Linked DNA regions of Anolis sagrei. The protein of the gene in region 1 interacts with the protein of each later gene in a pairwise test. Links are inferred from orthologs where the notes say so. Each region holds a gene or a part of one and is shown in the gene's direction. Other genes may lie near its edges. The genes, in order: MYPN and ANKRD1.

Region 1 (17,487 bases):
TGATGTCCATTTATTTCAGTGCTCCATTATTACTTCATTAAAGGCAGTTTGACACCACTTTAACTGTCATGGCTCAATGCTATAGGACCATGAGAGTTGTCGTGTACTGTACTCCAGAACAGGAATGACCCCCTGACTTCAAAACATCACACATTGAGTAGGAAAATAATCCTTTTTTTTATTGGAGATAAGTAAAAGCAGCAAGGTTAAAAAAACACTTTAAGAGAATAGGTAAATCCAGTTAGGTTGGAAGATAAGCAGAAACAAAGTATTCCAAGCTAAGGTTCAGCAAAGTTCAAAGACAAAGACCAGACTTCTCTAATAAAATCCAAAAAACCAGGAAAACATTGATCCGAAGCATGAGTATATAATCACAAGAGACAAAGAGGATTCTGAAACAATGCTTCATCTGACTATATTTCCCATGGTTGGAACTTTATATCTCCTCATTAAGCCATTCCAAGTGCTCAGAAATTGGTTTCATTTTCCCTGAATGCCTCTCATCCTTATCTCTCAAAGCCTTGCAGAACAGCGAAGGCCTTGGCCAAGCTGTTTGTTCTGGCTAATTTCCACCCATCTGTCTATATGCTCATTAGTTTCTCCAGGTGCCAAGTTGTTTTCAAGCCCCAAATCCTGGGAAATCTCTGGGAGCAATTCAGGGAGTAAACTATCATCCCTATACCCTTTAGGAACATTCTCATGGGAAACTACACTTTGAACCGTCATCTCTGTGTCATTATCTGCATTAATATCATTGACCAGACCATCCCCATCTTGACCCTCGTTGACATAGTTCCCCACATCTAAAACACTTCTTGAAACACAATCACAGGCTGAACTCCAACATTGTGTTGAGGATCCCATATCATTGAGTCTCCTTAGTTGTGACTAGTAGAGACCATTACTTTCAGTGGATCTGGATTTGGTAGGTCTTAATCCAATACATTTCAATAGTATTAAATATGCAGTTACATTTTATTCATGCAATCATTTCTCCTTACCTGTTTAGCTGTTGTAAGGGGTTTATACCACCATCCATATAAACCATCTTCTTTCTACTGCCAGATGACTGTGAACAGGAGTACCATTGTGTTTGCCTTATGGTTTAAGGCCATACCTAGCCAATCTTCTGGAATTGAGAAAAGGATATTAATAGTCTGGGATATTTGAACAATGGACCTCAGTGGAAATTAATTGTCAGTAAATTACTTCTTGATACTGGATGTTTTGAACAGGTGAAAATAAGAAGAGAAAGGAATGGCAGTGGCTGACCTTTCTCTGGTAGCTCAAGGGGGTGAAATCTAGAAGTATGTGAGAGAGTGAAAGGGAACAAAGGAGTCTGACAGCAGATTTTTGAAAGAGAGGGGTGATGAGGAAGGGAGTATGTCCAGAGGTTCAAATAAGTTCGTAGCACAAAGAGATGCAGGGGTGCTCTGTCTGAATAACTGGTGCATAGGGATAGACTGTATATGGAATGTTTCACCTGTAGATTTTAGGGCTGTCCAAACACGGAAAAATTTGTTTCTAAACTCGATTCATTTTTAGGGTTTTTTTGCGTTTCGTTATTTAAAAGAATTCCGAAATTTTCCTTAAAAAAAGTTCGATATTTACGAAATTTCAGAAATCATAAAACAATTACGAAACGATTACAAATCGATTACGAATCGATTCGTTAATGGCGGCCGCGATCGCACAATACGCTAAAAAAACTTCTGAAGCTTCCCTCTCCCTCTGTTGTTGACTGTTGGTGTGATAATTATATTTTTTTCACTGAGAAAACAAACAGCAACCCTAAAACTTGCACCAGACATGCGGAAATAATAACGAAACATTTACGAATCAATAACGAAACAATTACGAAACAATTACGAAATGAATTGGAAAAATTCGTTTATTTTTTAGTTGCTCCTGAATGGTTCAATATCGCTTCGTTATCAAAAAAATAACGAATTTTTAACAAATTACGAAATTACGAAACGAAACCGCCCAGCCCTAGTAGATTTGTAAATAAACTCGTATTATGGAATATTATCAACTTCCAATGATTTCTTCTCAAAGGAAACCAATCCTGATTAGATACTCTGTCCCATTGCCATTTAACATCAGACAAATAATAGAAAGTGGGCAATATGGCAATACAATAAAACTTAAAACTAACAGAAAAAAAACAGAATTAGAAATATCTCTCTTTCCAAGAAGGCCTTTCATTGTTATCACAGATCATTATAATAGTTAACACTAGCTTCCATAAACTAACATAGACTGAGCATGCCTTATCCAAAATGCTCGGAACCAGGAATGTTTTGTATTTTGTATTTTTCATGGATTTTGGAAAGCCTGTGTTTGCATACACATATAAAATGAGAAATTGAAGATGGAACACAAGTTTAAATACAAAATTCATTTATATTCCATATATATCTCATACACATACCCTGAAAGTTTAATAAAATATTTTCAACAGTTTTCTGTCTGAAATATAGTTTGTTAAACATCTGAAAGCAAAGGTCACTCATGACTGTAGTTTTGGCAATTGAAGTAGTCTGGATTTTGGAATTCCTGATAAGGAATTAATATAATTATTAGGTTACCTTAGCTGCTTTTTTGGACCTTTTACTTTCAAAGTAAGGCCGAAGTTTCATCAATTCAATCTGACACCCATATCCTATGTCCTTTACTTTGGAAGTGGAGTCTGCTCTGGTTAGTTTCCCAATAACTGTATTTGGGGTTTTAGCATCCCTCCATTGCACTGTTTTTTTTAAATGTTGGTTGCTCAAACTTTTGTTGATACCATTTTTCAACACTTGATCATCCAAGTGCCTATAACCTTACAACTTCATAACTTATATTTCTGTCTTCAAGAGTTTTGTGTTGGAAGTATTTAAATTATGCTTACACATGGGAGTGTGATACCCTGATACTTATTATTGGTTCCAAATGATGGAATGTATTTATTGCTATCTTGGTGGAGTGCTAATGTGGTTTAATCCACATCAGGATTCCATGCAGGATTTAAAACCTCCGGAAGAGTTTGTGGAGGATTGTTAAACTCCTCGAGGGTCTGCAAAGCTCTGTGTGAGTTGGGAGAACACATTTGTACAATAACTGTAAAGTCAGTAAAAGTCCTTGGAATTGTTTAAAGACATTTACGTAAACAATATAAGTCTTTCTAGGGGCTGGAATCTTTGCATGCTGCTAAACTGGTATTAGTAGAGTTGCATGCAAATTCAGGAAACTGAAACAGAGGCTTCTGCAGCCCTGGAGTTGAGCCCATTATAGCTTACTTTGGCTTGGTTTTAATTAGGCTTCCTAATCTAATTGGCTGCAGCCACAGTTGGGAATAAGTCAGTGGGGCTCCATTGGATGCTAACCCTTACCTATGTGATTGTTTGTCACTGTAGCAGTGGACTTGGAGCTCCAGAGAGCTTGTGGCCAGAGGTGGCCCTAGATAATTTTCAACAGAAAGCAAACAGTATTTTGGCACCCCCCCCCCCCAACCAATCACTGAAATATATTTTCTGTTCGTTGTGGGAGTTCTGTGTGCCATATTTGGTTCAATTCCATCATTGGTGGAGTTCAGAATGCTCTTTGATTGTAGGTGAACTATACATCCCAGTAACTACAACTCGCATATGTCAAGGTCTATTTTCCCCCAAGAGTGCCTCAAGAGTGCCACTGGGCAAAATCAACTATACTGCAAATGCTTACTTTGCGTAATGGGTTGAGCCACCCCTGCTTGTGGCTATCACTTGGTGCCCTTGCTAATGTAAGCAAAGGCAACCACATGACTGGAAGAGGGGATAGGGCCACCCCCTCCCCCCTGAGTTGTGCAAACACCTTTGTGTGATCTGTGGGGGTAATTCTGATTCCAAACTGGCCCCAGTGTTCATCTCACCACCACCTCAAAATCTGGGGAAGCTCCTGAGCATTCCCCAATTTTGCCTAATGTGGAGCACAATCCTGTTGAATGGCTGTGCCCTGTGTTGGGGGCAAGATGGCTTCATGTTTTATGTATGTATTTATTTATTTCTTTAAAACTTAATATTCCGATCTTCTCTTTCTCCGTAGAGGGATTCAAACCGGTTATGTAAACATCATAGAGCCCATTCTCACTTGCTTTAGGCTAAAGTGTACATGTATATGTGCCCAAAGTGTCTCAATCCTATGACCTCATCACATGTGAAAAAATAAGTGTCCCAAGACACTTCTACTCCTGTTCACTCACGGAGCCCCATGCCGCCCATCATATGACATAGGCAGACTTCCAACGGGGCTCTGTGGGTAGTAGGACACTGTGCCACCAACATGGTAGCTGTTGTGACTCAGCTGGAATCACAGACTGTCTCTGATGAGGATGATGGGACTCAGGTTCACAGTTTGGTTCAAGATGTCCCTGTTATAGACGTCCCTGTTATAGGCAATGAAGAAGTGCAGTATCCCACAGCAAGGAATGAGAGTGTTGATACTGAAAATAGCCAGGTGAGGTGCAGATTGACTCAGAGAAGGAGGATAGTTCTCAGCCTGATAATGAACAAGCAGGGAAACAGGCTGACACTAACAAACTGGCTGACCTTGGCAAAATGGAAACCTTAGATCGGGCTGACCGTTTGGAATTCCAAGTCCGAAGGAGTGAAAGAATAGCTAACAAGAGGGAGGCCAGAAGCCAAAGAATGCCTTCATGTTTTGCAAAGGGTATTAAGCCATGTGTGCGAGACCAAATCTTTGTCAAAGCAACTTTGCGTTCAACTAAGAAGTTTGCCTATGCTTGTCTGGATTTATCTTGCAGTTTTTGTGTTCATGACAAGACTTTGTCATGTTCTCTTGGGTTTTTGCTTTGCTGATGCCTTTTTGGATTAAGCTTCAAGTGCTATTTTATATTGATCTGTTGGAACATTAACCTTTGCTTTTAAGAACCTTTTTACCTTTTATTTTTAATAACTATAAAGACATCTGGCTGTGTGTGGTTTGGTGTCTTCAGCAAGGTGAATCTACTCTGAGGTGCAACAGTTTGTTTTGACCACCCTAAATCCTTGCTCACACCAGCCACCATGAGTCAAGCAGACGTGCAGCAGTAGCTTCCCCATGATCCATTAGGAACAATGGGGCTACCATGGGATTAAACCATGCAGTGATGCTTCCCCACGTGTGATGGGGCTGGTGTGCCAGGTTTGCCCTGCTGCTACTCCAATTTGACACAGAAGCTGATGAATCGCAACACTGGACCTCACCCACATGATGAGGTCCTTAGAGGAAGTTGCCTTTGTAAATAGAAGCCAGTAAGAATGTCAGAACTGTTCAATTTATTGTGTAACTGCCTGCTTGCAGCAACATCATGGGTGTATGCTTGGCATTACAAGCTCCTGGCTCTTAGATAACCAGTTTATTCTTTCTAGGTCAAAGAAAGACAAAGTTATCGGGGTTGTGATAATCGTGTCTCATTCCCAGGTTGACAAAATAGCTGCTGTTGTGGAGAATGAGGATGTTGAGGCAAAGAGGCACCACTCCAGGAAGGTTTTTTGGGGGATCAACAAATGTTCTCATTCTGGGGATGTACCTGTGGGAGATAACAGACACATAATGGATTGCCTGCTTGGTGCAAAACTTGTGGAAACTGCACATTATCTAGATAGCCTGGTTGATAATGTTGAGGTTGAGTAAGTACTCATGATGCACAGTGGCAGCAATGTTCTGAAGAAGTGTAGTTATGAGATCTTGACATTTCCAGCTTTCTCGTTTTTGGTGGAAATCTAGGATTTCCTTTTCTCTGAAACACTTCAGGGTCAATTGGACAGGTAAATTTAAGGAGTCTATATGAAGTGGTAAGACTCCTCAGCTTCAACTAGAGCAGATAGCATTTCAGAAGTTTGTGCCTTAAGAGACCACAAAATTCTGATTCTGATTCTTCTTCTTCTTATTATTATTATTATTATTTGGCTTGTGTATCCACACATATGCCATACACCAAACAAGATCAGGATCAGACAGAGGTCCAGTTTTAGTGACAGAGTGCACAAAAAATTCCTAAATAAGATAATATAGACCCAATAGACAGTGTAACATTGAGCTTTTAATAAAGCAGTAAGGGGCTAAGCAAAGTGATACAGAATAATGACTATTTTCCAGAATGTAAATTATTCAGTTTTCCAGTGCTGTCAGCTTGTATTAATAGCAACAGTGTATGCTGAGTCTGGAATGTATTCAAGTACAAGGTGCTATAATTTCTGAAAGCACATTGTGCCCCAAACAATATCCGACCTAGAGCATCATCGGACACATTGAGCAAAACCCCATATTTTGAATTCTTAGTCATGTTTAACAGTCTTCCTTAAACTATATGGACATCTTTAAAAAAGAAAGTCTTCCTCCAATTTCTGATCTTGCAGAGATGTAGGGGTACTAATATTTTTACCTAATGAGAATCTTAATTCTAACAATTTGTAAAAGAAACTGTTAAGTAAACAGAAGGTGCCAGGCTCAGTTTTTCTTTAGTGCTCATTCTTTATTGTGCAAGTGGCGAATCGATGGGTAGAGAAGAAAATTTGATTTCAGATTGCTTTTGACATGAAATCACTACCATTCACAAAATTTCTAAAAATTGGTTACAAAGAACTTGAGTTTGTTTGTGGAATGTGGGAGAATTTGAAAGATTTATCCTCTCCAATTTTCCAATTTATTGTGATCCTAAAGTGGATTACATCTTCTATTACCCTGGGCTACATTGATTGGGACTCACTAATGGCAGTCTAAAAACATCTAGAACATCATATGATTCCAACTCCTCTTGGTAATAGTTTTTTTTTTTTTGGGTTGTTTCTTTTTTTTTTTTTTACATTTACACTAACTTGTTTTAAAAATGAATAAAATGGGGCTCTACTAATATCTAGATCACAGGAAATATTTTGAGAGATGTTGGAATTAAAGAACATTCTCCCATCAGTACTTAAATGCAGTAGTGGAAAGGATATCCTTTTGCTTCCAGATCATGCTTATATGCCATATGCCAGCAAATATGGAAAACGCAAGAATGGGCATCAGACTGGAAAAAATCCACTTTTATCCCCATACCAAAAAAGGGAAATGCTAAAGAATGCTCAAACTTCCATACAGTGGCCCTTATTTCTCATGCTAGTAAGGTAATGCTCAAGATCCTGCAAGGAAGATTCCAGCAATACATGGAGAGAGAGTTCCCAGATGTGCAAGCTGGGTTTAGAAAAGGCAGAGGAACAAGAGACCAAATTGCCAATATCCACTGGATAATGGAGAAAGGCAGGGAGTTTCAGAAAAACATCTATTTCTTTTTTATTGACTGTTCTAAAGCCTTTGACTGTGTGGATCATAATAAATTGTGGCAAGTTCTTGGTCGTACGGGCATAGCAAATCACCTTGTCTCTCCTGAGAAATGTGTATAAGGACCAAGTAGCAACAGTAAGAACTGACCATGGAACAACAGACTGGTTCAAGATTGGGAAATGCGTACAGCAGGGTTGTATACACTCACCCAACCTATTCAACTTGTATGTAGAACACATCATGCAACATAGGAGGCTTGACAAATCCAAGGCTGGAGTTAAAATTGCTGGAAGAAACATTAACAATCTTAGATATGCAGATGATACCACTTTAATGGCCAAAAGCAAGGAAGAGCTGAGGAGCCTTCTAACCAAGGCAAAAGAAGAAAGTGCAAAAGTTGGGTTGAGTTAAACATAAAAAAACCAAGATTCTGGCGACTGGACTGATTGATAACTGGCAAATAAAGGGAGAAAACGTGGAAGCAGTGACAGACTTCACATTTCTAGGTGCAAAAATTACTGCAGATGCAGACTGCAGCCAGGAAATCAGAAGACGTTTACTTCTTGGAAGGAGAGCAATGACCAATCTCAATAAAATAGTGAAGAGTAGAGACATCACACTGACAACGAAGATCCGCACAGTAAAAGCAATAGTATTTCCCGTAGTAACCTACGGATGTGAGAGCTGAACCATAAGGAAGACTGAGCGAAGGAAGAGAGATGCCTTTGAACTGTGGTGTTGGAGGAAAGTTCTGAGAGTGCCTTGGACCGCCAGAAGATCCAACCAGTCCATACTTCAGGAAACAAAGCCCGACTGCTCATTGGAGGGAAGGATAGTAGAGGCAAAGATTAAGTACTTTGACCACATCATGAGAAGACAGGAAAACTTAGAGAAGAGAATGATGCTGGGGATAATGGAAGGAAAAAGGAAGAGGGGCTGACCAAGGGCAAGGTGGATGGATGATATCCTTGAAGTGACTGGCTTGACTCGGAAGGCGCTGGGGTGGTGACGGCTGACAGGGAGTTCTGGCATGGTCTGGTTCATGAGGTCACGAAGAGTCGGAAGTGACTGAATGAATAAACAACAATAACAAACATGTTTATATATGTCTAATCAAAAGTAAATGTTTTGGTATACAGTATGACTTATTCATTAAAAAAATAAAAATAAAACCAGAATACTTTCTTTTCGGCATAACGGATAAAGACATTCCGCTGGAAAAAAATGAGGACAAACTGTTCACCTATCTGACAACAGCCGCAAGGATAATATATGCTAAGAAGTAGAAACTAAAGGAACTGCCAACCAAAGAAGAATGGGAAACTAAAGTATCCGAAATTATGGATATGGACCTATTGACATACTACCTAAAAGACCCGGAGGGCAAACCTATAAACCCAACAGACTGGACCCTTTATAAAAATTATAAGGAATTACAATGAAACCCACGAAGACTTGATACTCCCAAGTAAGTACGAGTTATAGAATGGAAAACAAGAAATTAGAGATTTGAAAAATCCAAAAAAGAAGTGACCAACATCAAATAAAAGCATGGTACCAGTATGAAAACTAAAATTACCCAGGGAAGATAAAGGTGGAAGTCAACGAACAGAACCTGCTTCAACTCTGATTTTTAACTGCTAGGTATTTCTCTCTCTCTTTTGTTCTTCTCTCTTTCACCTTTCTTTCCTCCTTTTTCTTTTCCTTTTTTCCTTTATCTTCGACTCTCTGTCGCTTGCCCCCCATTCCCCAATACATCCCTAACCCTTCCCCACACACCCTTATACCCAACCCTGCCCAATCACCCTCCCCCATGCAATCTTTCTGCTTTTAAAATATTTGTAAGCAAAATTATAATAAACATATTTCAAAAAATAAAAAAATAAAAATAAACGTATAATATAGGATTAAAACCATTGACATTCAGTGTGTTTTGGAGACCTCCACCAAATTATAGTTATAGTATAGTACTTTGATGAAAAGACCTGCTAACAAAAATTCAGTTTCCTCCCTGCTAGAGGTTTCTCCCCATCGTTTCATGGAATTGCCTCATTATGAAACTTTGCCTTCTTATTTAATTTCTTTATTAATTAATGCAATGTTCTTAAAATATTTCTAATAACAATTCAGTATTACCCTAACATAGCTGTTTGGATATTCCAGTTAAATTCTGTTTAAAATAGGTTTGGTTTTTTAAAAAAATAAAAACAGCATGACCCAAAAACCAGCATGACCCAAAAACGTGTTTCTTTATTAACAGCATGTAATGTTAGGCATCTTAGACGTTCAGAGAACAAGACACAGCTAAATAAACAAGGAGGAGTTTTAATCTCACTATTTTGGGCTTTTAAAGTAACCCCTCCTCTTTGATAAGATTAGAACCTGAATAATATGAAATCAATTTCATGTGTTCTTATGAACAAGTCGCGCCGAGAATGCGTAAGCATCCACTGAAGATATTCTATTTGGGGAGGGAAAATGAGGATCCCACCCTCCGTAGGTGCTGTTACAGCAATGGAATCCCTTTGCTCAATATTATCCTGTCCAATGAGGTGGAATGTTTCACAAGCACATGGTTTATGTGTCTCAAAATAACTTGGGACCTGCAAACTGACAAATGCTATTGCTTCAGTGGTGACAGGTTGTCCGGCTTCTTACAGCCATCTTCCCTAAAACGAAGGTTAACGCCTTTCCCCCTTCCGCCGATGGACTCCAAGACATTTCAGTTCCGAAAGACCTGAAGGAGTACCATCGCTTCGGTCATTTAAAATCTCATTTTAAGGAATAATTGCCACCGTGTTTGTGTGCCAGAGTTGGATTTTAACATCTGGACAAACTAGAAAAGGTAATATCTTTAAATTTTCAAGTGTTGCTATGTTTTGATGACCTTGCGCAGGTGCACGGAGGGTCTAGAATAGAGGGTGGCGGGTTGTGTTATGTCTGAATGCTCATTATTGCTGATAAGTCATATTAGGGGAGCAAGTCCCTTTTTTTTTACTCTCTGGGTTGAATTACAAAGAGGATCCAAGATTAAAGAGAACCGAATGAGCTTTGGAATCATGAAGACAGGCAGTGGGGGGATGAGAAAGTTTCCCTTTTTTATCTCCCTCTTTTCAAACTGCAGTATAAATTGTTATTTAAGAGTCACTAAACCCACACCAACTATTTGCATTTCCTTCTTAAACAAAATAATACAAGCAAATATTGCTGTGTACTTAAAATCTTTCTTTTTCATAGTGTGTGTGTGGTGCATGAGTGAGTGAGAAAGAGAGAATATGTGTCATGTAAAATGATACTGCCAGTTATATTTAGGGTTTGAAGATCTGCTACGTGGATTAATGTACACAACAGCTGCAGGAACAGTTTTGCTCGAAGGGCATTGCTTTCTCAACCCTCACCCTTCTCTCTCTCTCTCTGCAAAAAACTTTTTGACTGTCAGTGGCAAATGTTTGGCATGCTATATTGTAGAATTAATCAGTAATGGAGAGAACATAATGAAGCAAAATAAATAATTAAGCAAACTTAGACTGTGTAGAACAAGGATTTTACACAACATTATATGCAGATAAGTTTGAATATAAATTCTTGGATTTTGTAGAGCCAAAGAAAAATAGAAAGAAGAAATGTAGGCCATAAGAACAAAATTTTCTAACTAGAAATGCATACTTGAATAATCCATAGTAGCTAAGGATACTCTTCTTGCCACTTTCCCTTAATGAGCATTTTTAGGAAAAAAATGTTTTAAAAATATGGTTCTTAAGGCTATAGAGAAATATTTCTCAAGGCATTTCCCAAGATTTTACTCCAGAGATGCCTGAGCAACAGTTTGAGAATTACAGTTCAATTATTTTCCATTTGTAATAAATAGTATATCTTGTGGTAGAATCTAAACATGGAGAGATCAGTTATGCTGACTTCTGTAACGGGAATTTCACCTACTAGCCCCACATAAATCAATGCTACTGTGTCAGCTTAAAATGTAGCAGAAATGTTATTAAAAGGGGATTATTAATTATGACCTTTCACAATATTCAAATAAGCATTTATTTATGCATTTATTTATTTATTTACAACATTTCTACCCCTCATTTCTCCAACCCAAAGGCAACTCAAGAAATTCAGGAATGTAATTTTGTGACTCTAAAAATGTAGATCTTAGTAGTTATAGTCTTTTATACATGTTGAAATACATCCATGGCTTCAATCAGTTTTAATTCCATATTTTAATCAGTTTTTAACTGTTGCTAATTTCATCCAACTGTGTGTTAAATCAATCAGCTGCTGTTGATCTTATTAACCTTGCATATTTTGTACACTTACGGAGCAAAAAGGGTTTTTGAGCAATACTAAAATGTTGTTGTAATAGCAAGCAATATTTACAGTAGATGCCAAATTGGTTATCAATTTATGGCTACAACTTGAACTGACTTTTTTTTTAAAAAAATCAGTGTACAATAGTATATTTTGCTTTGGATCTGGGATTACAATAGACTACTCTTTTGAAGCCATTTGCTTCTAAGGAATTTGATTAAATCGTTGCCTCTAGTATGTCAAAAGGCTGATATCAGTGAAATCAACTGAACACTTGGTGATTTGTAGTTTGAAAATTGCAGCTCCATTATGTTGAGGGACTCAATTATTTTAATATGTAGTCTTATAAATTACATTTTGGCTTTTATTTGTTTCTAATTCATAGCAAAGTTCTCCACATCACTAGAAAAAAACATTACAACTATAGCCTCAAAGTGTGGGTCATCTCATAACCTATCCCATCACAATCCCAACCACCTCTGGTGGATCATTAATATTTTTTCGCTAGATTAAAATTAGTTAATACTTTGTTAGCTTTGCATCTCTACTAAGCAGGTACCGGACTGAATTTTGTCATCAGATCTATCCAGGGAGTTCTTTCATGGTGCATGGCTGTATCAGAACAGATAGTATTTATATATTTATTTATTTATTTCATTTATATGCTACCCTTCTCACCCCGAAGGGGACTCAAGTAGCATAGAGAGGAATAAAAGACAAAACATCAACATACATTTCTTAGTTTTTAGCAGCCCCAACACTACATCTTACTGCATATACAAGAAAGCACTGCATAGAAAACATGTCAGCAGTTTTTAAAAGCTACAATGTAATATGGTATGTGGCCTATATTTAGGGTCAGTTAAAAAAACCTGATGTAAAACAAGGAATATATGTGTGTGTGTGTGTGTGTGTGTGTGTGTGTAATGTTAGTGTGTGTGTAATGTTAGTTTATGGGATTAACAGAACTCAAAAACCACTGGACGAATTGACACCAAATTTGGACACATGATACCTAATAACCCAATGTATGTCCATCACTCAAAAAAAATTGATTTTGTCATTTGGGAGTTGTAGTTGCTGGGATTTATAGTTCACCTACAATCAAAGAGCATTCTGAACCCCACCGACAATAGAATTGGACCAAACTTGGCACACAGTTCTCCCATGACCAACAGAAAATACTGGAAGGGTTTGGTAGGCAGTGTCCTTTGGTTTTGGAGTTGTAGTTCACCTACATCCAGAGATCACTGTGGAGTCAAACAATGATGGATCTGGACCAAACTCTACACGAATACTCAATATGCCCAAATGTGAACACTGGTGGAGTTTGGGGAAAATAGAATCTTGACATTTGGGAGTTGTAGTTGCTGGGATTTATAGTTCACCTACAATCACAGAGCATTCTGAACCCCACCGATAGAATTGGGCCAAACCTCCCACACAGAACCCCCATGTGGGCCACAGCAACGTGTGGCAGGGGACAGCTAGTGTATATGTGTGTGTGTGTGTAGAATTATATAATTAGAATTGGGTTTGGTAGTTTTCCAATCCAAATAAATAATAATGCATGTAATACTTTCTAAATTATAACATTACAGTTTAAACTGAATTCAAAGTCATGACTGTGTTAGTATGAAATACTAACATGAAATGCATGAGAAAGCAGTTGTAGTATACGCTTTCATAGTCTGTTTCCTCCATGCATCTGCAGAAGCTGGTTTAATAAACGAAAATATATTCTGCCAACTATTTATCTCAGTCTCAAAGGTGCTATGGAGTTTAAACTGAGACAATGCCATTGACCTTTTCTGTCCTCTTACCACTTTAAAGAAAGAATTTCTATTCCTATTTTAAATAGAAGTGCAAGGGTTTGGGACAGAATGCAAGTATTGTGTTGTCAGATAGAGGAATCCTGCCAGCCAGTTTCTTTTCTGTGGCCATGCCACTGTCCCAATCAGATGGGAAGTGAGAAATGGTAGTATATTTGTATGTGACTGCATATAAGAGAGGGTCCTGGGACCAAATCCAGTGGTACCAAGGGCCCACTGTATTTTTGATAACTTTCAAATACAGTGGCTTACATTTATGAAACAGCCATCAGACACCACTTTAAAAAGTAAATTGCAATCCATTGAATATAAATAATAACAGTGATGTAGATCATAGAGGTAGAGCTATCATGATGCGGTGTTTTGAATGTTGAATTAGGATACTTGGAGACCAAGGTTTAGATCCCAATTAGCCAAGTTACCCAAAAGTAATTATATCAACTATTATGACTAGTTATGCTTATTTTCTCTCCAAGGTGCCTTCTACATTGCCATATAATTCAGTTCAAAGCAGATAATCTGGGTTTTATATGGCAGTACAGAAGGGACTGCAGTGATATTAATGGTAGATTTGAATGGAGGGTTCTTTTGGGATTATCAAGTGCATTCATTTTTGAGCTCCCTGGATGTTTTTGGTTTTTTGCTTATATGATCTCTTATTGTTCTTGCTGGCTGGGACTTCTACAAACTGAAGTCCAAATATCTGGAGGAACAGTAAGGTTGCATTATTAATGGTACAAATGGAATCAATCCTGCAAGGCTATCCGTGAATCAGGGCTCATGCTGCTGCAGGCACCATACATGTGTTCACATGTACAAAGATAGTACAGTAATGTTCCTTCTCTTTCATACATACAATCCAAGGAATAGTCACATTTACCATCCACTCCAGACTCATTATTTCAATAATGGAGTGAGGAAAAAAGTGGATAAGACAAAGGACAGAGTCTCAGAGGCATGGTTTGGCTCTGAGACTCTGGCCTTGGTCGTATCAGCAGAGATACAACCAAAGCTATCCTCTTGGCCAGGATATGGCCCAAGAGAGGACACCCCTTGGCCAGAAATACAGCAAAACCGATATGCTACTAAAACCAGCTCTTGAATATTGGAAGGGAAGACATTATAGAATTGTTCCAATACTAATCATTTTAGCCTGATGCTAATGACCACTATAAGAGGCACTATAAGAGGGTTTAGTGAGACCAGTTGCTCTTGTTGCAATGGCGTAGTAACGGTGAGGCCACAGACCATATTTTAGTTCTTGCAGACCACTGGTGGTCCACAGACCACAGGTTGGGAACCACTGCCTTATAGAAATGCTCATAGTCTGCCTCATGTCTATGGACCATCACTTTGAGTCGTACTGTGCTAGAGAATCATCTTTAATATTCTGTTTAAGTTGGACTAACTTCTCTGAGAATGACTGACTTCTCTGAGAATAACTGACTGAAAATTACATCAAATTATTTTGTTTTTGAGTCTTGCAGATCGACATGTAGCCCAAAACATGACCTGGGAGCTATTCTCAGCAGAGATTGGAAGGGATTGTAAACCCTGTAAAAGGCAGGATTAAAACAATCTTTGAAAACCAGACAACTGTTTAAAAGAAAATATATGTTTACTATCATGCTAGTACACTGAAAGAAAATCAAATGTACACTTTTAGCAAAGGATCAATGTCCTGGTAGTTACTTTTTGTAAAAGGACCCAGGGAATTGTAATTGATCACAAATTATAAATATGAGCCAGCTATGTTTTGGTCTCTGGTGGGGAGACTATTTTTGGAATGCATGGCAGAAATATCACAAGCAGGATGTGATACTCTCTATCCAGCACAAATAACTGCTTAGGTTGGATACTGCATTGCTCATCCATTGCTAAGGGGGGGGGGGGGGGGATGAACATTTGTTTAATAGCTCCTCTGAAATGTATTTGAAAACCTGCAGAATTTGACAACTCTCATTGCAACTCTCATTAGGTTAGTTACATTCTCTCTAACCAGTCTAGCAATTTGGAAGAGAGACAATAACACAGCATGTTTGGCTAGGTTTTTACACTGCTGTGCCATATCTGTCAGCTTTTGCCTCAGATTAAACTGAATCAGGCTTATAAAAATGTGGATTCTCCCCCAAGGGAAACAGAGACCACAAGTGATTTAACAGAATTCCAGCTGCCATTGCTGGCTTGGAACTAAACCAAAACGGCCTATGGTGTGTGTGCCAGATACACTGCAGGCTAGAACATATATCAGCGGTGTGTATGTTGTACGTGATATGATACATTCTCACAAGTTGTGCACTGATGGATTAAGTATACTTCAAATTATTTCTTCTGCCATGGTCTCAATGAACTTGAATCCAGAATAAGATTAGTTAAGAACATGAGAAGAGCTTGCTGGATATGGCCACAAAGCCATCTAGTGTGCCCGCAGTTGTCAAACAGATGCACCCTCCCTGTCCACTTTCCTTAGAGACTGGTACAGATAGACTTATTGTTTCTGTTGCTGGAGGATGTATATATCCATCCTGGCAAGTAGCTACCACAGTTTGCCTTGTTCCCCTTTAAAACTACTGATCTTGTTGATGTGAATCCCATAGTTTAATTGTGTAGTGTGCAAACCAGTATTTCCCTTTGTCCCATCCCCTGCTCCTACAGTGAAGACGTGCACACAATACAGGAATAATATTACCAAGAGCCCCTCATGGCGCAATAGGTTAAACCCTTGTGCCAGCAGAACTGCTGACCAACAGATCAGAGATTTAAATCCAAGGAGAGAGGTTTGAGCTCCCTCTGTCAGCTTCAGCTCCCCTTGAAGGGACCTGAGAGGAGGCTACGTCCTTGCAGATGGCCAATTCTGTCAGAGAAATTTGGGGGTATATGCGCAGCGGAAGAAGTTGCTAGATCAACAGACACAGGATTCCAAAAATCAGGACTCTGTAGTCTTACAATTGCAAAATAACACAAAGTTTACTAAGCACATCTACACATGTCCATTCTTAGCAGGCTATAATCAGGAACTACAATGCACAGCATAAACAGTTTCAGAACATCTGCTTATCAGACCTCTGGCTGTAACCGGATCCTCCTTCTTCCCACACGTTATCTCACTACTGTCAAGGTTACTTTTTCTCTGCTTCTCACAATATTTCTAATACACAATTAAACACAATAGAATCCATCTTGAAACACATCTTAATTCATCTTGAATTACATAGAAACACATTGGAAAAACACACATGCATATCTCAATAATCCTGACAAATTCTCTCACACCAGAAGTGACTTGCAGTTTCTCAAGTCGTTCGTGACATGAAAAAACAAACAAACCAAGAGTTAGTTAATAATACATTTGGATCATTACAGCATCAGCTAGAATGGTGTATTGGTTTGTGCGCTGAACTACAATTTTGGAGACCAGGGTTCAAACTCACTGTGTAGTAGTATGAAAAAGTAAATTCCATTGAATTCAGTAAATAAAATTTCTGAGTAACTATGCTAAAGATTGCCTGTTGACTAAATTTGGCTTTTCCCACATTTTGTTTTAAAACAAACCTGACAATTTCTCCCCTTCCCCAACAAATCAAAGTAGGCTATCTACACCCCAGTATGTTGCTTGTCTGCTAGCCAAATGCTTACTTCCTAATTATAGGGCAAAATAATTATGTCTATACACCAACTAAGAATAATAAGTACAATTTTGCTATGCTATGACCCTAAATGATCCACATTAAAAAAAATAGTTTCACACTAAGAGCCAAACATCAGGCACACACACACATTCTGAGCCTATGAAAAAATGCATTGTGTGAAACCATCCCAGTAGTCTCCTAATCTCTTTTAGATAGAAAAGCAACTTGGATTCCTAAAGCTTAAATATCACAACTCATAATCCCTTCTGGATCCATTCTCAGTTTAATCCTCATTTGTTAAGTGTGACCAGACAGGGTTACTGTTGTCCTTGTAACTGATGCTACTCAGTATCTTAGATACTATTGTATTTGTCTAGCTAGTCCAGTTTACATTTTATGAACTTATGCAATATATTTAGTGGGAT
Region 2 (16,719 bases), about 15 Mb from region 1:
TTGTGTATTTTTGCCAAATTTGGTCCAGTGAATGAAAAGACATTCAGCATATCAGATATATTATTGTTACATTACAATCTGTAACAGTAGCAAAATTACAGTTATGAAGTAGCAACGAAAATAATTTTGAGGTACTGTATTAAGGGGTCGCTGCATTGGGAAGCTTGAGAACCACTGATCTAGTGCATGTTGTTGTTGTTGTTGTTGTTGTTGTTGTTGTGTCTTTGAACAGTTTCCAGCTTATGGTAATCATAGGGTAAATGTATCATAGAGTTTTCTTAGCAAGATTTCTTCAGAAGGGGTTTACTACTACCTTCCGCTGACACTTAAAACCTTATCATACCCGGCAAATTTTGGCGGCAACTCCAGTTGTGCTAAAGCTTTGCCACAGAGTTTGCTGGCTCCCACTACACATGGGAAAAGTATTTCCGGGGTGGCTCCAGGGCAAAACTGTGGCAGAACTGGAGTCACCACCAAAAGAAAAAGCCGACAGTGGCAACATGGGAGGCATCTCGTGTTGCATTGCCCTCAATGGAGCAAGCCAGCCAGCAGACACTTCCTCCCATGTGATGAGTGAGGAAGGAAGCCAGAATGGTGCGAGACGTGGGATGATATGTCCCCAAGCCTCCTGAGTGAGTGCTGCTAGGATCACCATGATTCTGGTGGTGATTCTGACAGGGCTGTTAGTATGATTTGCACAAGGTCATCCCTTGGGTTTGCATTACTGAACATAGATTTGAATTTCCCAGAGTCATGGTCCAATACTTAGAACCACTACATTATGCTGGATGTCATAACACATCATATGGGCCTGGATTTAACTAAGCCTTTCTCCCTTAAATCCTAATTCTACCCTTTCCACCCACGCATCTAGTCCATTCAATGCCTGGGAAGTACAGACCAGAACTCACTTGGAGACTTATGCCAACATAAACATTTTTAGGTGTTGCACAAAGAGACATTAGATACCTCCTCACACAACATATTGACCAAAATGTTTAGACATTAAGATAACTTCTGGTTGTTATGGCCCACTAAGCAATATCTAGTTATAATTGCTCAACAGGGAAACAAGGAACAGATTTGTGATAGAGGTTATATGGCATGGCTTGAGGTCCTAATTAAAGAACAGAGAAATCAATGGTTTGGAGAAACAAATTAAAAGTTTTTTTATGGGAACTCGTTTAAAGATAGGAAAGTTACCCAATTTAAACTAGCTTTATTCTAAGAAAGAAGTGAGAGAGGACAGGAGGGAAGAGGTGAAAAACATCATTAAGTATCCGTTTACATCACAATGCAATCATATATTTATTTTTTGCATCAGGAGCAACTTAAGAAACAGCAAGTTAAGTTCTGGTATGAGAGAATTGGCCATCTGCAAGGATGTTGCCCAGGGGACGCCCGGATGTTTTGATGTTTTACCATCCTTGTGGGAGGCTTCTCTCATGTTGCCGCATGGGGAGCTGGAGCTGATAGAGGGAGCTCATCCGTGCTTTCCTCGGTTTCAAACCTCCGACCTGTCGGCCTTCAGTCCTGCCAGGACAAGGTTTAACCCACTGTGCCACCCTAGTGCAGTTATGATAGGTAATTAAGAAGAGAGGACCAAAAAACCCTATTACCACTGAGGCATTCTTCATTGCTAAGCATTGTTGCACATCTAACAATTTCCCCTCTGTCTTAAGGATAAAGCAGATCCCTCTTCCTTGGCCGTATAATGTACAGAGACTGGATACACACCTACTGTACATTTCACCATGACTAGGAGGCAAAGCTGGACCTGGTGGCTACAACTGATGTTACACAATCTAGAAATCAAAATTATCTACAAGACCATATCTCCTGATACAAATTCTGCCTTGGTCAGACCACACCTGGAATACTGTGTCCAATTCTGGGCACCACAATTGAAGGGAGATCAAGGGTCTAGAGAACAAACCCTATGAGGAGCGGCTAAAAGAGCTGGGCATGTTTAGTTTTCGGAAGAGAAGGCTAAGAGGAGACATGATAGCCATGTATAAATATGTGAGAGAAACTCATAGGGAGGAGGGAGCAAGCTTGTTTTTTGCTGCCCTGGAGATTAGGGGCGGAACAATGGCTTCAAACAATAAGGAAGGAGATTCCATCTGAACATTAGGAAGAACTTCCTGACTGTGAGAGCTGTTCAGCAGTGGAACTCTCTGCCTTGGAGTGTCGTGGAGGCTCCTTCTTTGGAGGATTTTAAACAGAGGCTGGATGGCCATCTGTCAGGGGGGCTTTGAATGCGATTTTCCTGCTTCTTAGCAGGGGGCTGGACTGGATGGCCCACGAGGTCTCTTCCAACTCTATGATTCTATGATTCTACTAGCTGTCCCCTACCACGCGTTGCTCTGGCCCAGTCTGTGTATATGTGTTTTGTGTGTATGTGTGTATATATATGGTTTTGCGCATGCGTTGTAATTTTTTAATTTTTTGGGGCTTTTAAAGTCTCTTCCGTTGTGTTTTTCAGTGTTTTTTTTTTAGTTTTTGTCACTTTGTTGGCCTGATAAGTGTATTTTGTCCAAATTTGGTGTCAATTCATCTGGTGTTTTTTTGAGTTATGTTAATCTCACAAACGCACATAAAATTTTTATTTATATAGATGACGTTGGAGGGGTGGAAAATCAAATGTCCTTGAATTGCCTTCCCCAGTTTGAATCCCTATATCACATGGAGTCAGTGAAATTGAGCTAAGTATCTCTGATCGTAAATTAACCACAAAGGCAAAGAAATAAACATAGTCTAGATTCCAACCGAATGACATTGGGACAAATATATAACCTGGAAGTCATCCTCCTGCCTCTGAGGTATGGAAAGCTACCTGCTTACAAAGCATCTTATTCAAAGTCAGTAACCCGAAACAAAATGCTTACATTTAAGGCAAAGCTCCAATGTTCACGCCTCTCCCGCCCTTTGGTTCTTTTCATGTTTGTGGGCACAAATACAGTTCCTGGATTGGTGGACATTTACCTCACCAAGCTGAATCATCGTCTTCAGACTCCACCGTCTGCATCTTTAAGGTTCTTTATACTGTACTGGTGGGATGACTGTCGGTCTCTTTCCAGGAGGCTGCCAAGAAGCAGAGGAGCATATTGGAATAGGCACAGGGCCCAGGCAATTTGCAGCAGCTGAGAATCTAAGCCATGCTCCACTGAGAAGCACTCCGCGTGCGTTTCCTCCACCATTAGCATTATATGCTAGTTTTGTATCTCAATGGAGAAATCATACGGGTGCATCCTTTGTGTTTTAAAAGATAAGGGCAGAGGTAAGAGTCAGGAAGCAGAACAGAATTTGTATCCAGAAGGTACGACTTCACAGCCCTTATCATAAAGCCACTCTGTTATTAGAGATGAACAAGGGAAATGCTTTGGGCAAATGATACTGTAGATACTGCTCAAAGTTATAATGTTCCACTCTATATCGGCCTTTAACCCTAGTTTTGTCATCTTATAGCAGCACATAGGAGAGATAATACCAAGTGTGCAGGTACAGCTGTACCAGGAGCTCCAATTTTGTTTGCTTTGCATTTAATGTTTGTTGTAGTCCTAAGTTTCAGGGACTCTGCGGATAGGTGGCTTCTTTTGGCAAGCCACCTGTCAATTATAGTTAAGTTCCCTGGTCCCTTTTTGGGTTTTGTAGGGAATAGGAGCCATTTTGGGCCAGTCCACACAGAGAAGCCTTTCATACAGGACATAAAACCAAGAATTCCTGTAGAAAGCTTCGTCTTCTACAGCTTGGCCGGGGTTATACAGCCCACAGCTTGGCCGAGGATCATACAGCCTTACAGCTCCTTTGCTGAGGGACTTCAGCCAGCCATCACCGAAACTCCTTTTTCCTCTGGAAGTCTACAAAGCTCTGCTTGGTAAGGGTCACTCGCGGAAGCCAGAAGCAGTTGGTACCGGGTGCAGGGGCTCCACGCCAACAGAGGCAAAGACAGACTGCCCAGATTAGAAGTTAAGGATTTCCCCATTAGTTAATGTACAGTTTATGAAGATAGTGCCTGTTCCCTGTGGACAAGATTGAGAGAGAGCCAATAGACTATTAAGAAAGCCTTAAAGTACCTGTTTATTTTCAATAATAAAGAACTTTGTTGAACCTTTAAGCAATCTAAAGACTCTGTTTTAAAGAAATCCAAGGGCCTTTAATCTGAGGCAGCCCCGGCGTCCCGTTGGGCACACAGAATGTATGTCCTGTCTACAGTCTTATGCACAGGCCCAGCGTGCGACAGCACACCAAGAGCGATCCTTTTGTAGGCAGAAAAGTACGGCTTTATTTCCAGCTGGGACTTTGGTGTGGACTCTCATCCAAAAGCAAACCAGAGTGAAGATAAAGGCATAGACTTTTCTTTTATACAACTTCAAATGCAGGCAAACAAAGAAACATGCTTCTATATACGTTAACATCATCACTACATCACCTTAAGCATCATAAAAAGGTTAAGGTTGTCCCCTGACATTAAGTCCAGTCATGGCTGACTCGGGGGTGTGGTGCTCATCTCCATTTCTAAGCCAAAGAGCCAGTGTTGTCCATAGACACCTCCAAGGTCACGTGGCCGGCATGACTGCATGGCGCGCAGTTACCTTCCTGCTGGTACCTATTTTTTAAAAATATTTTTATTAGTTAGTTTAGATATAGATACATGGAAAGAGGGGGAATATTCAAAAGAGGAAAGCAAAGTAGGAAAAGGATAGAAAAAGAGAGGGAGAGAGAGAGAGAAAACCGATGAGAAAAACAAAAAAGATGACTTCCATTCCAGCCTCAGGATCTTCTTATCTTTTACTTTTACTTTTTACTTCGTTGTTACATTTACATCTTCTTTGTATCTTTCCTTTTTCTGTTTTTTTCATAGTCATAGAAAAGGACCCAATCTGTCCTTTCAATGATTTCCCGGTATTTATCTTTAATAAAAAAGTTAGCTCATCCATATCTCTTATTTCTCTTACCTTATCCAACCACTCATCAATAGCAGGGATTTGTTCTTGTTTCCAAGATTTTGCAAAAATAATTCTAGTGCTGTTGTAATATATGTAAATAGTTTATCTTCATTTTCGCCAAGTTGTAGTTCCAAGTCAGTAAAGCCTAATAGATAATACTCCGGGTTCTTTTTAAACTTAATATTTTTTTGTATCTCCTCATGAATCAATGACCAATATTTTGATGTCTCCTTACAGGTCCACCACATGTGATAGAATGTACCTATCTGATCACAACCTTTCCCCACTGGAGCGGTACCTATTGATCTACTCACATTTGCATGTTTTCGAACTGCTAGGTTGGCAGAAGCTAGAGCTGACAGCGGAAGCTCACACCGCTCCCTGGAATTGAACCTGTGACCTTTCAGTCAACAAGCTCAGCAGCTCAGCGCTTTAACCCACTGCACCACCGAGGGCTCCTTGAGAATAATAGAAATATCAAATTCTATCTTCTACGTGCAAGGGGCATGTATCTATACTTTTTTTCTAAAAGCAGTTTACAGCTTACATTCATCAAAGGGGCCTACTTTGACCTGTCAGGAGGGAGAGAGATTGCTTACTTAGAAATATGATGGTATAGCCTGTGCTATGCTGTACTAGTCTCTGTATCGATAACACGACCCCCTTCTCTTCCCCCTTTCAACACAGATCTCCTTCAGCATTATTTCTGGCCTGTCAGCTCGGCTTTCTAATACAGTGAGCACTTGATTTTACTTACATTTCAGTGCTTCTAAAGTACATACAATATATGTATCAATATATTTCCAATATCTCCCCATCAATCTGGTAATTGCACTTTATCAATTAGCCCTGTCCTCACAATTTGATTTGCACCAGCCTGCCCTCCGGAGACCGGAAACTGTTACTATTTCTGGCCACTGGTTGTTGCTCGATTGTTTTTTCTTTTATTACATTGTGTTATATATCTGGTTGTTTTATATTGTGTTGTGATGTTGTTATTTGAATTTTAATGTGCAGTAGTGTATACATCCCATATAGACTACTGCAACATGCTCTACCTGAGGTTACCTTTCAAAACTGTTCAAAAGCTTCAAATGGTCTAGCAGGTGGCAGCCAGGCTACTAACGGGAGCGGCTCTCAGGGAGCATACAACTCTGCTATTGCGCCAGTTCCACTGGCTCCCAATTTGCTACCGGGCACAATTCAAAGTGCTGGCTTTAACCTATAAAGCCCTAAACAGTTCTGGCCCAACGTACGTATCTGAACGTGTCTCCCCTTACGAACCTTCCAGGAATTTAAGATCATCTGGGGAGGCCCTGCTCTTGATTCTGCCTGACGAGGGGCAGGGCCTTCTCAGTGGTGGCCTCTCGGCTGTGGAACCCTTCCTGGGGATATTAGATTGGCCTCCTCCCTCCTGACCTATAGGAAAAGAATAAAAACCTGGCTCTTCGAGCAAGTTTTTGGAACCTCATTGTAACCAGATAAACTCAGTATTGTGAACGAATATGGAATGGCTTAACTATGCAAATGGAAATGGATTTAAACTCGGAAGTCATTGATTTTTATAGTTTTAAATTGTTTTTATATGAATTTTATTATGTGATTTAATCTGCTTTAAACGATGCTTTTATGTGTGTTCGGCATCTAATTGTTGCCAGTCTGTATGCTGCCCTGAGTCTCCTTCGGGCTGAAAAGGGCGGGATAAAAGTGTGGTAAATAAACAAACAAACAAACAAACAAATAAATAAATAGTTTGGACTTTTATTTAAGCCGAGTCCTTTCGGGGAGATGGAGGCAGGGTACAAAAATAAAGTTGTTGTTGTTGCTGCTGTTGTTGTTAGGCAGGAAATTGTGACATCTTCTATTGTAGATGCTTCAATCCATTTCCATGTTTGAGCATTGAAACATGGTGAGAAGGGTGGAATATAAATGCTTTAAATAAATAATAAATAAATAAACTATGTTTATGCTGCCGTTGTCAATGACTTCAAACTACAGGAAAGGAGATTCCACCTGAACATTAGGAAGAACTTCCTGACTGTGAAAGCTGTTCAGCAGTGGAACTCTCTGCCCCGGAGTGTGGTAGAGGCTCCTTCTTTGGAAGCTTTTAAACAGAGACTGGATGGCTATCTGTTGGAGTGCTTTGAATGCAATTTTCTTTCTTCTTGGCAGGGGGTTGGACTGGATGGCCCATGAGGTCTCTTCCAACCCTATGATTCTAGGTACACTGAATTTCAATAAAACCTTCATTCTTTGGCATGGTCTTTAAAAAAGTTTTTAAAAGTTTTTTTTTTAAAAAAATGCGGAACTTCTGTGATGTTTTTGTGGAACCCTAGTGTTCTGTTTGGAAACGATAGAAAACCTTGACTGATTATGGATAATTTTCTAATCTGAGTGGAAATTGTACTTCAAGATTAATTTTGGGGTCCATATTTCCCTTTTGCTCTAACTCAGAAAAATATTTTTTTAGGACTACAACTTCAATGACCCCCTATACTGCCTGGAGGACTCTGGAATTTATAGTCCCAGATATTACCTTTTCCCCAGCTCTGAATTCTGCTTATAAGTAGTGACAGATTCCAGAGAAAATGCAAAGCCAGCGGGTTCCATTTCTTATGCTGATGGTAACTTACTGTGTCATTGAGGTTTTTTTAGCCCCAGAGACATCATTCTGGCTTCATAATCCCTTTGGATAATTCCTTCCAGCAAATATAGACAAGTGCCATGATGATGGGTAGAGGAAGGGGAGGGGGGAGAAAAAGACCACCCCTTTCCCTCTCATACTGTTTACAATCCGAGAATAGAATATCACGAAAAGAATGACTTCCCATACCTGAATAGATCACATGTTTGCTTAGCCAAAGATGATGATACGCTGAGCACGGCATTGGGTCACTTGTCCTTTTCCTGGTGTCTCTGGCTCATGTGAAAGTCAGTTACGATACAGCGCGGTATCTGCAGACAGCTGTCCCACTGGGCACTGGACAGACAAAATGTCTAGCATTGCAGAGCTATTTAGTCATCACGAATGGAATGAAGCTCTAGTATTTCACAGTGATTCACACAGGCAGCCCAGTTACACATGGCAAGATGTAGCCCTCTTCTTTTTCTCCCCCCCCCTCCCCTAGCCATTCCTATCTTTGACACTAGATCTGGCTAGTTAACATGTCTGGAATGCAAGAGCACCTATCTCAGGGCTGGGGGGCTGAGGGCGTACTTGGATTCCCAGGTTGGAAGATTATCTCACTCTGAAGAAGTTTTTGCAGAGATATATAAGCTGAGCGAGATTGGCGCATTTTAGCAAAGTAGCTTTGGATAGCAGTGGGAGGAGGCATCTTCCTTGGAAGGAGTACCAAACAGTGTTAACACTTCTTGATAAGCCAGCTGGAACCATGATGATGCTGAAAGTGGAAGAGCTGGTAGGTTGTTATTCTTCCTTTATGGTTTGCATTTTGTAGGCTGGTATCACACACTTTTGTCAAGTGTTCCATATAAGTTATGAATTAACTATAGCAGAAAGAGAAACATGGCTGGGCAGTCTGATCAAGTTTTATGTGACATGTGATCTAATGATGTGGTTTTATGAATTGTCTCTGAGAATCTTTGTAATAGAGCAGTGTTTCTCAACCTGGGGGTCGGGACCCCTGCAGGGTTCATGAGGGGGTGTCAGAGGGGTCACCAAAGACCATCAGAAAACACAGTATTTTCTGTTGGTCATGGGGGTTCTGTGTGGGCAGTTTGGTCCAATTTTATTGTTGGTAGGGTTCAGAATGTTCTTTGATTGTAGGGGAACTATACATCCCAGTAACTACAACTCCCAAATGTCAAGGTCTATTTCCCCCAAACTCCACGCAGTGTTCACATTTGGGCATATTGAGTATTTGTGCCAAGTTTGGTCCAGATCCATCATTGTTAGAGTGCTCTCTGGATGTAGGTGAACTACAACTCCAAAACTCAAGGTCAACCAAACCCTTCTGATATTTTCTGTTGGTCACGAGAGTTCTGTGTGCCAGGTTTGGTTCATTTCCATGAATGTATTTTCATTCACTGGACCAAATTTGGCACAAATACACAATATGCTGAAATTTAAATACTGGTAGGATTGGGGCAGGGGGTGGTTTTGTCATTTGGGAGTTGTAGTTGCTGAAATTTATAGTTAACCTACAGTCAAATAGCATTCTGAACTCCACCAACAATGGAATTGAACCAAACTTGGCACACAGAACTCCCATGACCAGGAGAAAATACTGGAAGGGTTTGGTGGGCATTGAGTTTTGGAGCTGTAGTTCACCTAACTCCAGAGAGCACTGTGGACTCAAACAATGATGGCTCTGGACCAAACTTGGCACAAATACTCAATATGCCCAAATGTGAACACTGGTGGAGTTTGGGGAAAATAGACTTGACATTTGGGAGTTATAGTTGCTGGGATTTATAGTTCGCCTACAATCAAAGAGCATTCTGAACTCCATCAATGATAGAATTGCCCCAAACTTCTCACACAGAACCCCCATGACCAACAGAAAATACTGTGTTTTCTGATGGTCTTTTGCAACCCCTCTGACACCATCCTCGCGAACCCCCAGGGGTCCTGACCCCCAGGTTGAGAAACACTGATCTAAGTGCAAGGACACTGAAATTTTCCCCGTAAGTGCTTTCATAAGGAGGAAAAGGGGTTGCTTCTCAGATGAAAGATAATTCTTTTAGTTTGTTTGCTTGTTTAAAGTCTGTTTCATATTTCTTTACCACATTGTGACCTCCAAAACATAAATCTTATTTGGGGATTGAGTCATGCATCTGAAACACCCGAATCTCTTCTATATAGACTGGAAAGTAATCTGACAATGCATTTCTGGTTATGTTTTCACCAAGCCAAGTTTGTGAGATTGATTCAGAACTAACAATTTTGGAGAGGATAACGTGTATGTGAGCATCTGTGAATGGATAGGCTTAATTGGCATCTTCTATCTCAGGTCTTTTGACTGTCTTATTAATGGCAAGAGTTAGCAGTGAAGGAAACAAATGGAATAGGAGCCTTCTCGAAAGGCTGTGTCTTTGGAAAGGTCCGGCATGGGTATTTCCTATAATTGTTGTCCAAATATCCAGGAGCTGTTCTGCAAAATTTTTATCAAATCCATTGCCTTACCAGAGGGGTTCATTAATTAAACAGTCTTCGACACCAGCCAGGATGATTGTTTAGAGATTTGAACCAAAAGAAATTGTAGCTGACAATCTATACAAGTGATTCACAACCTGTGGTCCATGGACCACCAGTGGTCCACAAGAACTAAAATACAGCCCACGGCCTCACCATTATGACACCGTTCCAACAAGAGCAATTGGTCTTGTAAAACCCTCTTATAGTGCTGAGGCTTACTAAATATATATTTTTTGTGAGCGAGCAGATGGTGACTACTGGATGGCATATGTTCTGTATCAGAAACTAGAGCTGATGTGGTCTATCCAATGCAATTTTCTGAATCAGCACCCCAAATAACTAAACTGAATCGAGAGTTGACCAAAAACTGATTCGTAACCCTTTTGGTACTAATGTTGGAGAGTGGTCCCTGGTCAAAGTGGTCCCTGGTATATAAAAAAAAGGTTGGGAACCACTGGTCTATACAGTCCCCTGTAATCAGTGGGACTTCCAAGCAGATATGGATAGGATCGAAGCTAAGAAGCTTTGATCCCAAAAGAGCTTGTATTGAATAGCCTCCTTGATTACTACCATGTAAATATATCTTAGGCTTTAAACAAAACTTGGAGATGTTACCATTTTGGATTACAACTTACAAAACCCTTCAACCAACATGGGCCAATAACTATGCAAGCTGAGCATTTGAGGAAGGTGGTTTTTCTAAGCGTTGTCAGTGATAAGGTAGTTGTGAACAAGCCAGAAACAAGGACCCATACCATTCATTCTGAACACCCAAAGGACTTTTAGGCATGGTGAGAGATTCCCATGCCACATGGAGAATTTCAAAACCAGATGGCATAGGAGTCTGCCAGTCTACGAGAGGCAGGGTGAATACAAAAAATCCCTTAAGGGTTACCTAAGCTCTTGGGTGACCCAAAGCAACCAATCCCAGCCATTGACCTCTAGTCCAGATAAAGTTAGTCATGACTACAACCCCAGGGAGCAATGAAAGCTGTATTACTGATAGTTCATTTGTGTCATTGACTTCATTGAGGCTGAGCTACATCTAATTTTAACAGGATTCATTATATGGACTAACTGGACTGGCTGACTACACATAGCAGATGCCCAATGGTAGAACAGAAATGGATTTTTTAATGTTATGGTACCTGTAAACTATCTGTAATTATAGATATAATTGTTTCTAGTTAGTCTGAGGTATTCTGCTCAGTGGCTTAGTGGCAATTGGTGGCTTTCATATCAATGGAGTGATGACTTCATCCAAGGTTTCAGTCTCCAAAGGAGCGAATCAATTGCTGGACCAATACTGGGGAATATAGTTCTGAGTAGATTAATCACTGACATGGAAGCTACCAATGGACTCTGCTTCTGGATCTATCTTCAGCCTGCTGTTTCACATATGTCTCCATCTCCAAATTCTCCATTGCTTTACTGTTTTTCTCCCCAAAGCTGATTTATTAGTTAGATGGTTACTCGGTGCAAGCTGTATCTATCTAATGACTGTCTGATCAGTTCAAATCAGTAAGTGGAACTTTGCCCTGCCATCATTCACCATTGGTATGACCCTTAGGATTACCTGCTCACAACACCACAGGGTAGGTCCAGAGCTTGGAGATGGTTACTGTTTTGGATTACAACTTTTGGGGACCTTGGCGCTTCTAGCTAGAGGATTTTTGCAGGTGCAGTCCATAAAAGAAACTTTTCTTAGCTGATGTTAGTACTATGTTGGTACTGTTAGTACCAACCTTCCTGTGTCTGCCCACTTTTTTCCTTTCAAAGCTACAGAGAGCTTTCCATTTGCAGGCTCCCATTTGTATTATTTTGCCACAGTATAAATCCATATTTTTTCCATATTTCATTCACAAGCACACTCTGTTCTCAAGTAACAACTTTTCAGATCACTGCCCACTTTGCCTCATTTCCTCCAGGCACTCTGTGTCTTGACAGCTTCTGCACAATTTTTTTCCCTTCCCACACACCATAAAGTCCATACTATGGTAATGACAGACATCTCAGCTCAGTTCTTGTTGGCTTTGTTCTCTGTTCAAATTTCTTTTCATCTGTCTATAATTCCAGATATCTTTCTTAATCTATCATGATCATGAATCTGCACCATTTTTAATACCCCACCATCTAGACATCTTCCTTCCTTCCACAAGTTACTAGTGAAGCAATTGCCTCATTCTGTTTAATACTGAACAAAATGATAAGGTCATAGAATCTTAGATCATAGAGTTGGAAGATACCTCGTGGGCCATCCAGTCCACCTCCCTGCCAAGAACCAGGAAAATCACATTGAAAGCACCTCCGACAGATGGCCATCCAGCCTCTGTTTAAAGGCCTCCAAAGAAGGAGCCTCCACCACACTCCAGGGCAGAGAGTACCACTGCTGAACAGCTCTCAGTTACAAAGTTCTTCCCAATGTTCAGATGGAATCTCCTTTCTTGTAGTTTGAAGGCATTGTTCTGCATCCTAGTCCCCAGGGCACCAGAAAACAAGCTTGCTCCCTCCTTCCTGTGACTTCCTCTCACATAACCTCGTTGGGTTGTAAGGTCAACCTTGTTGGGTTGCAAACTGGTTCTTCACTTGAGAATTTGGAACATGGCAAACACTGCTTCATGGCATCTTATATCAGCTCGGCTGTGTTGCCTTGAGGCATTCATTGAACTCTGTGGTGTCCAGTCTTTGGACCTCCAGTTGTTTTAGACTTCAGCTCCCAGAATTCCTGAACACTGGGCAAGGTAGACAGGGTTTCTGAGAGTTGGAATCCCAAAGAGCTGGATGACCAAATGTTGGATGCCACTGATTCAACCCATGTTTTCAAAGTAATTCCTCTCCCTGTGCTTTTCAAGGGCTGCACTAATAATAATAATAATAATAATAATAATAATAATAATAATCTTTATTTATACCCTGCCACCATCTCCCCAAAGGGGACTCGGTGCGGCTTACATGAGGCCAAGCCCAGCAATACATTACATCAACATAAAATATAAACAACAAAATAACATCACAATAAAATAAATAAACCAATCAAGTAAAATAAAAAGTACAAAATAACATAATGGAAAATGCACGACATAAAATGATAAAACTCTGGAAGAGATAGCAATGAAAAGGTACACTCTGTATAATTGTTGCCCCATTCTAATGGGTCATAAAGCAAAATATTGCACTCTGACACCATGTTTTTCCTTTGACAGGTGACTGGCAAAAAGAGTGATGGCAGAGAGACAGGTGATTTTCTCCCGGAGGACTTCAAACATGGAGAATACGAAGCTACTGTGAGGTTAGAAAAACATGAGGATCTGAAGACGGTGAATGTTCACCTGCTCCCACGGCATAATTTGACCTACACAGAGGAGAAAAAGCTACAAGCCGAGGTAAATATATAAACATTTTTCTGTGTAATTATATCTTGAACATCTCCTTGTATCTCTGTAGCTCTAAAGGTCAGAATTCCTTTGGCCATCTAAACAAGATAATCTCAGGAGGATGGTAGGACACAAACAATGAAATTGTTATAGGTTGTTGTTTATTCACTCAGTCACTTCCGACTCTTCGTGACCTCATGGACCAGCCCATGCCAGAGCTCCCTGTCAGCCGTCACTACCCCCAGCTCCTTCAAGGTCAAGCCAGTCACTTCAAGGATACCATCCATCCATCTTGCCCTTGGTCGGTCCCTCTTCCTTTCTCCTTCCATTTTCCCCAGCATCATTGTCTTCTCCAGGCTTTCCTGTCTTCTCATTATGTGGCCAAAGTACTTCATCTTTGCCTCTAATATCCTTCCCTCCAATGAGCAGTCGGGCCTTATTTCCTGAAATATGGACTGGTTGGATCTTATAGGAATAGTCTTTAGAAAAGGTGACCCAACCATTCTCCAAGGCAGCATAATCCACTGTTGAGTAGCTCTTAGGGTCAGGAAGTTCTTCCTAATATTTAGTCTGCTTTCCTGCCATTTGAATCCATTGCTCTGTGCCTTAAGTCTTCGGAGCAGCAGAAAACAAACTTTCCCCTTCCTCAATGGGATCGCCTCTCAAATGTTTAAACATTGCTATCATGATCCTTCTTAGTTTCTTTTCTTCATGCTAAACATACCCAGCTCCACATCTCTGTATTGTCCACATCTCTATATTATCACAAAATTATCATTACCATTTTTGTAACCATTTGACTGTTTTGTTCTTTGAGAACAAGACCGATGTCTAGGGCAGCAAAATCCCAATTCACATCCCCCCCCCTCCCCTTCAAGGAAGGTGAAAATAGGAAAGACATTAGTAAGTTGAAATCAGCAGAGTTTTGCCTTTGAAGTAACAGCTTATCATGAGCCTGCCAATTAGAATTTTACAGTTTCGCACTGATGATGGATTATTCAAATGAAGAATTACAGTACTGTGCTGAAATCAAGGAAGGATTGAAACCTGACAGATTTTAAAGGGTTTGGAATGAGAACCTTTTGCTACATACCCCCCAACATGCTTTTAAATTGAGTTTGCAATAAAGGTGCGCCTTGAAACTACTTAATCAAAAGTCACCTCAATAAACAGATTTTTCAGTGCAATATATTCTATATTTGGGAGCTAGATTCTGTCACTTATAGTCGCACTTATTAACACCTTGTTCTTTGAAAAAACCTCAGCTACACTGCTCTTTGAAAGATGTGGCGCCTGTTGCTTGAAGTACAAGTTGACACACATTCTGAAACAGCTCTAACTAGACTAAATTCCAAGGAACATTTAACTATAGTAGAACTATCACATCAGGCAGGAATATGATGCTGGACTATGACTCTTGAGAAGGGGGTTGAAACTTTCACTTGGCCATGGAAACCTCATGAGTGACCCTGGGCAAGTCACTTTCACCCTTAGAAGAAAGCAAGGCAAATCCTGTCTAAACAGATCTTGCCAAGAAACCCCAGCAATAGGGTTGTCTTATTACTTACTTAGGTGATCCCTCGTTGTCCGAGTAGGATTGTTTTTGAAGATCGGTGTACTGATGGTGTGTACATAGGTGACTGTGGAGCCCTATTCATGACCTGCATGTTCTCCCGCAGTGAGGGCATCCGTTTCCAGGTGGAAGGCGGTCCCGGTTGGGGTTGGCTTGACGCGCCTTCCTCTTGGCATGTTTCTCTCTTTTGCCTTCTATTCTTGCCTCTTCAAATTCTGCAGCACTGCTGGTCACAGCCAACCTCTAGCTGGAGCACTCAAGGGCCAGGGCTTCCCAGTTCTGTGTCTATGCTAGAGTTCTTAAGGTTGGCTTTGAGCCCATCTTTAAATCTCTTTTCCTGCCCACCAATATTCCATTTTCTGTTCTTGAGTTTGGAGTAGAGCAACTGCTTTGGGAGACGGTGATCGGGCATCCGGTCCAGCGGAGTTGATGGCGGAGAACCATTGCTTCAATGCTGGTGGTCTTTGCTTCTTCCAGCATGCTGACATTTATCCGCCTGTCTTCCCAAGAGATTTGCAGGATTTTTTGGAGGCAACGCTGATGGAATCGTTCTAGGAGTTGCATGTGACGTCTGTAGATAGTCCACGTCTCACAGGCATATTATAAGGGAACAGTCAGCAAGCTATTGGTTGTCTTATAAATTGGAAATGACTCGAAGGGACAAAACAGCAACATTATGCCCAGACTCTTCCTGAATAACATATTAATTCTGGCCAAGTTCTGCAGTAAAGAGAATGAGATAGTTTGCTCACGTTACTTGGAAGGGACAGCAATAGCTTGCTGACTGTTCCCTTTGGTTGGAGGATGCCATAATAGATGATGATGATGACCCATTCCCAGCACTACACGGGAGCCTTTCCATGTTGACCAGGAAATATCCTAGGTTGCTTCCATGCTATTTGGGGGTGGGGCCTCTGCCAGAAGTTGGGGACATTGTGTGATGGGCTGCATGCCCATCTGTCCCTCAACTGGCTGGCAAGTGTCCCAGGATGCTTAATTTGGTAAGTGAGATGAGGCCCTTTGTGGCATTGGGGTATATTTGCCTTAAGTAGTAACATGTATTGAATCAGTCTTGTGAGTGCACACTTAAGGGTACAGATAAAATTTGGTTCTGCAGATATTGCTGAACCACAGCTTCCATCATATTTCACAATTGGCTGTTCTGCCTTGGGTTTCCTGCCCATGCTTCCTAGTAGCTGGTGGTGAGAGGCATGCCGCCTGATACTGGTAGGGTGGCCAAATCTCCAGGCACCTTGGGACATATATGAGAGTCAACCTTGGCTCTGGGTTAGAAGTGAGATTGGAATGCAGCCTTGGCAAGCCATGCTCTCCTTAAGGTAACCAGCAGAGACTAGCTGGTTCACTTTCAAAGATTGTCTAGAGATGAATCTGTTTTCACTGTATCCAGCTTAAACCAAAATGTTGTGAACATGGCCATATAGCCCGAAAAAACCTACAACAACCCAAAATGTTGTGTGCCACCTGTTCCATGTTGAAAGAATTGTGGAAGATAAAATTAAGTATATCCCCTTCTGAAGGCATCCAACTATTAAGCCATGTATTGTCAAAACTTTCATTGCCAGAATCACTGGGGTATCGTGTGGTTTCTGGGCTGTAGGGCCATGTTCTAGTAGTATTTTTTCTTGTTGTTTTGCGTACATCTGT

What was found.
Region 2: the proteins of MYPN (region 1) and ANKRD1 interact in a two-hybrid assay, tested with the Homo sapiens proteins (2 studies listed by BioGRID). The link is inferred for Anolis sagrei from reciprocal best matches to the Homo sapiens genes MYPN and ANKRD1.

The regions. Positions count from the first base shown.
Region 1 is NC_090023.1:170,219,205-170,236,691, forward strand, and holds the start of MYPN (myopalladin), read left to right. Parts: upstream 1-9,916; 5' UTR 9,917-10,135; intron 10,136-17,487. UniProt on the Homo sapiens protein: Component of the sarcomere that tethers together nebulin (skeletal muscle) and nebulette (cardiac muscle) to alpha-actinin, at the Z lines.
Region 2 is NC_090023.1:184,857,567-184,874,285, reverse strand, and holds the start of ANKRD1 (ankyrin repeat domain-containing protein 1), read left to right. Parts: upstream 1-8,075; 5' UTR 8,076-8,341; coding exon 8,342-8,368; intron 8,369-13,310; coding exon 13,311-13,490; intron 13,491-16,719. UniProt on the Homo sapiens protein: May play an important role in endothelial cell activation. May act as a nuclear transcription factor that negatively regulates the expression of cardiac genes. Induction seems to be correlated with apoptotic cell death in hepatoma cells.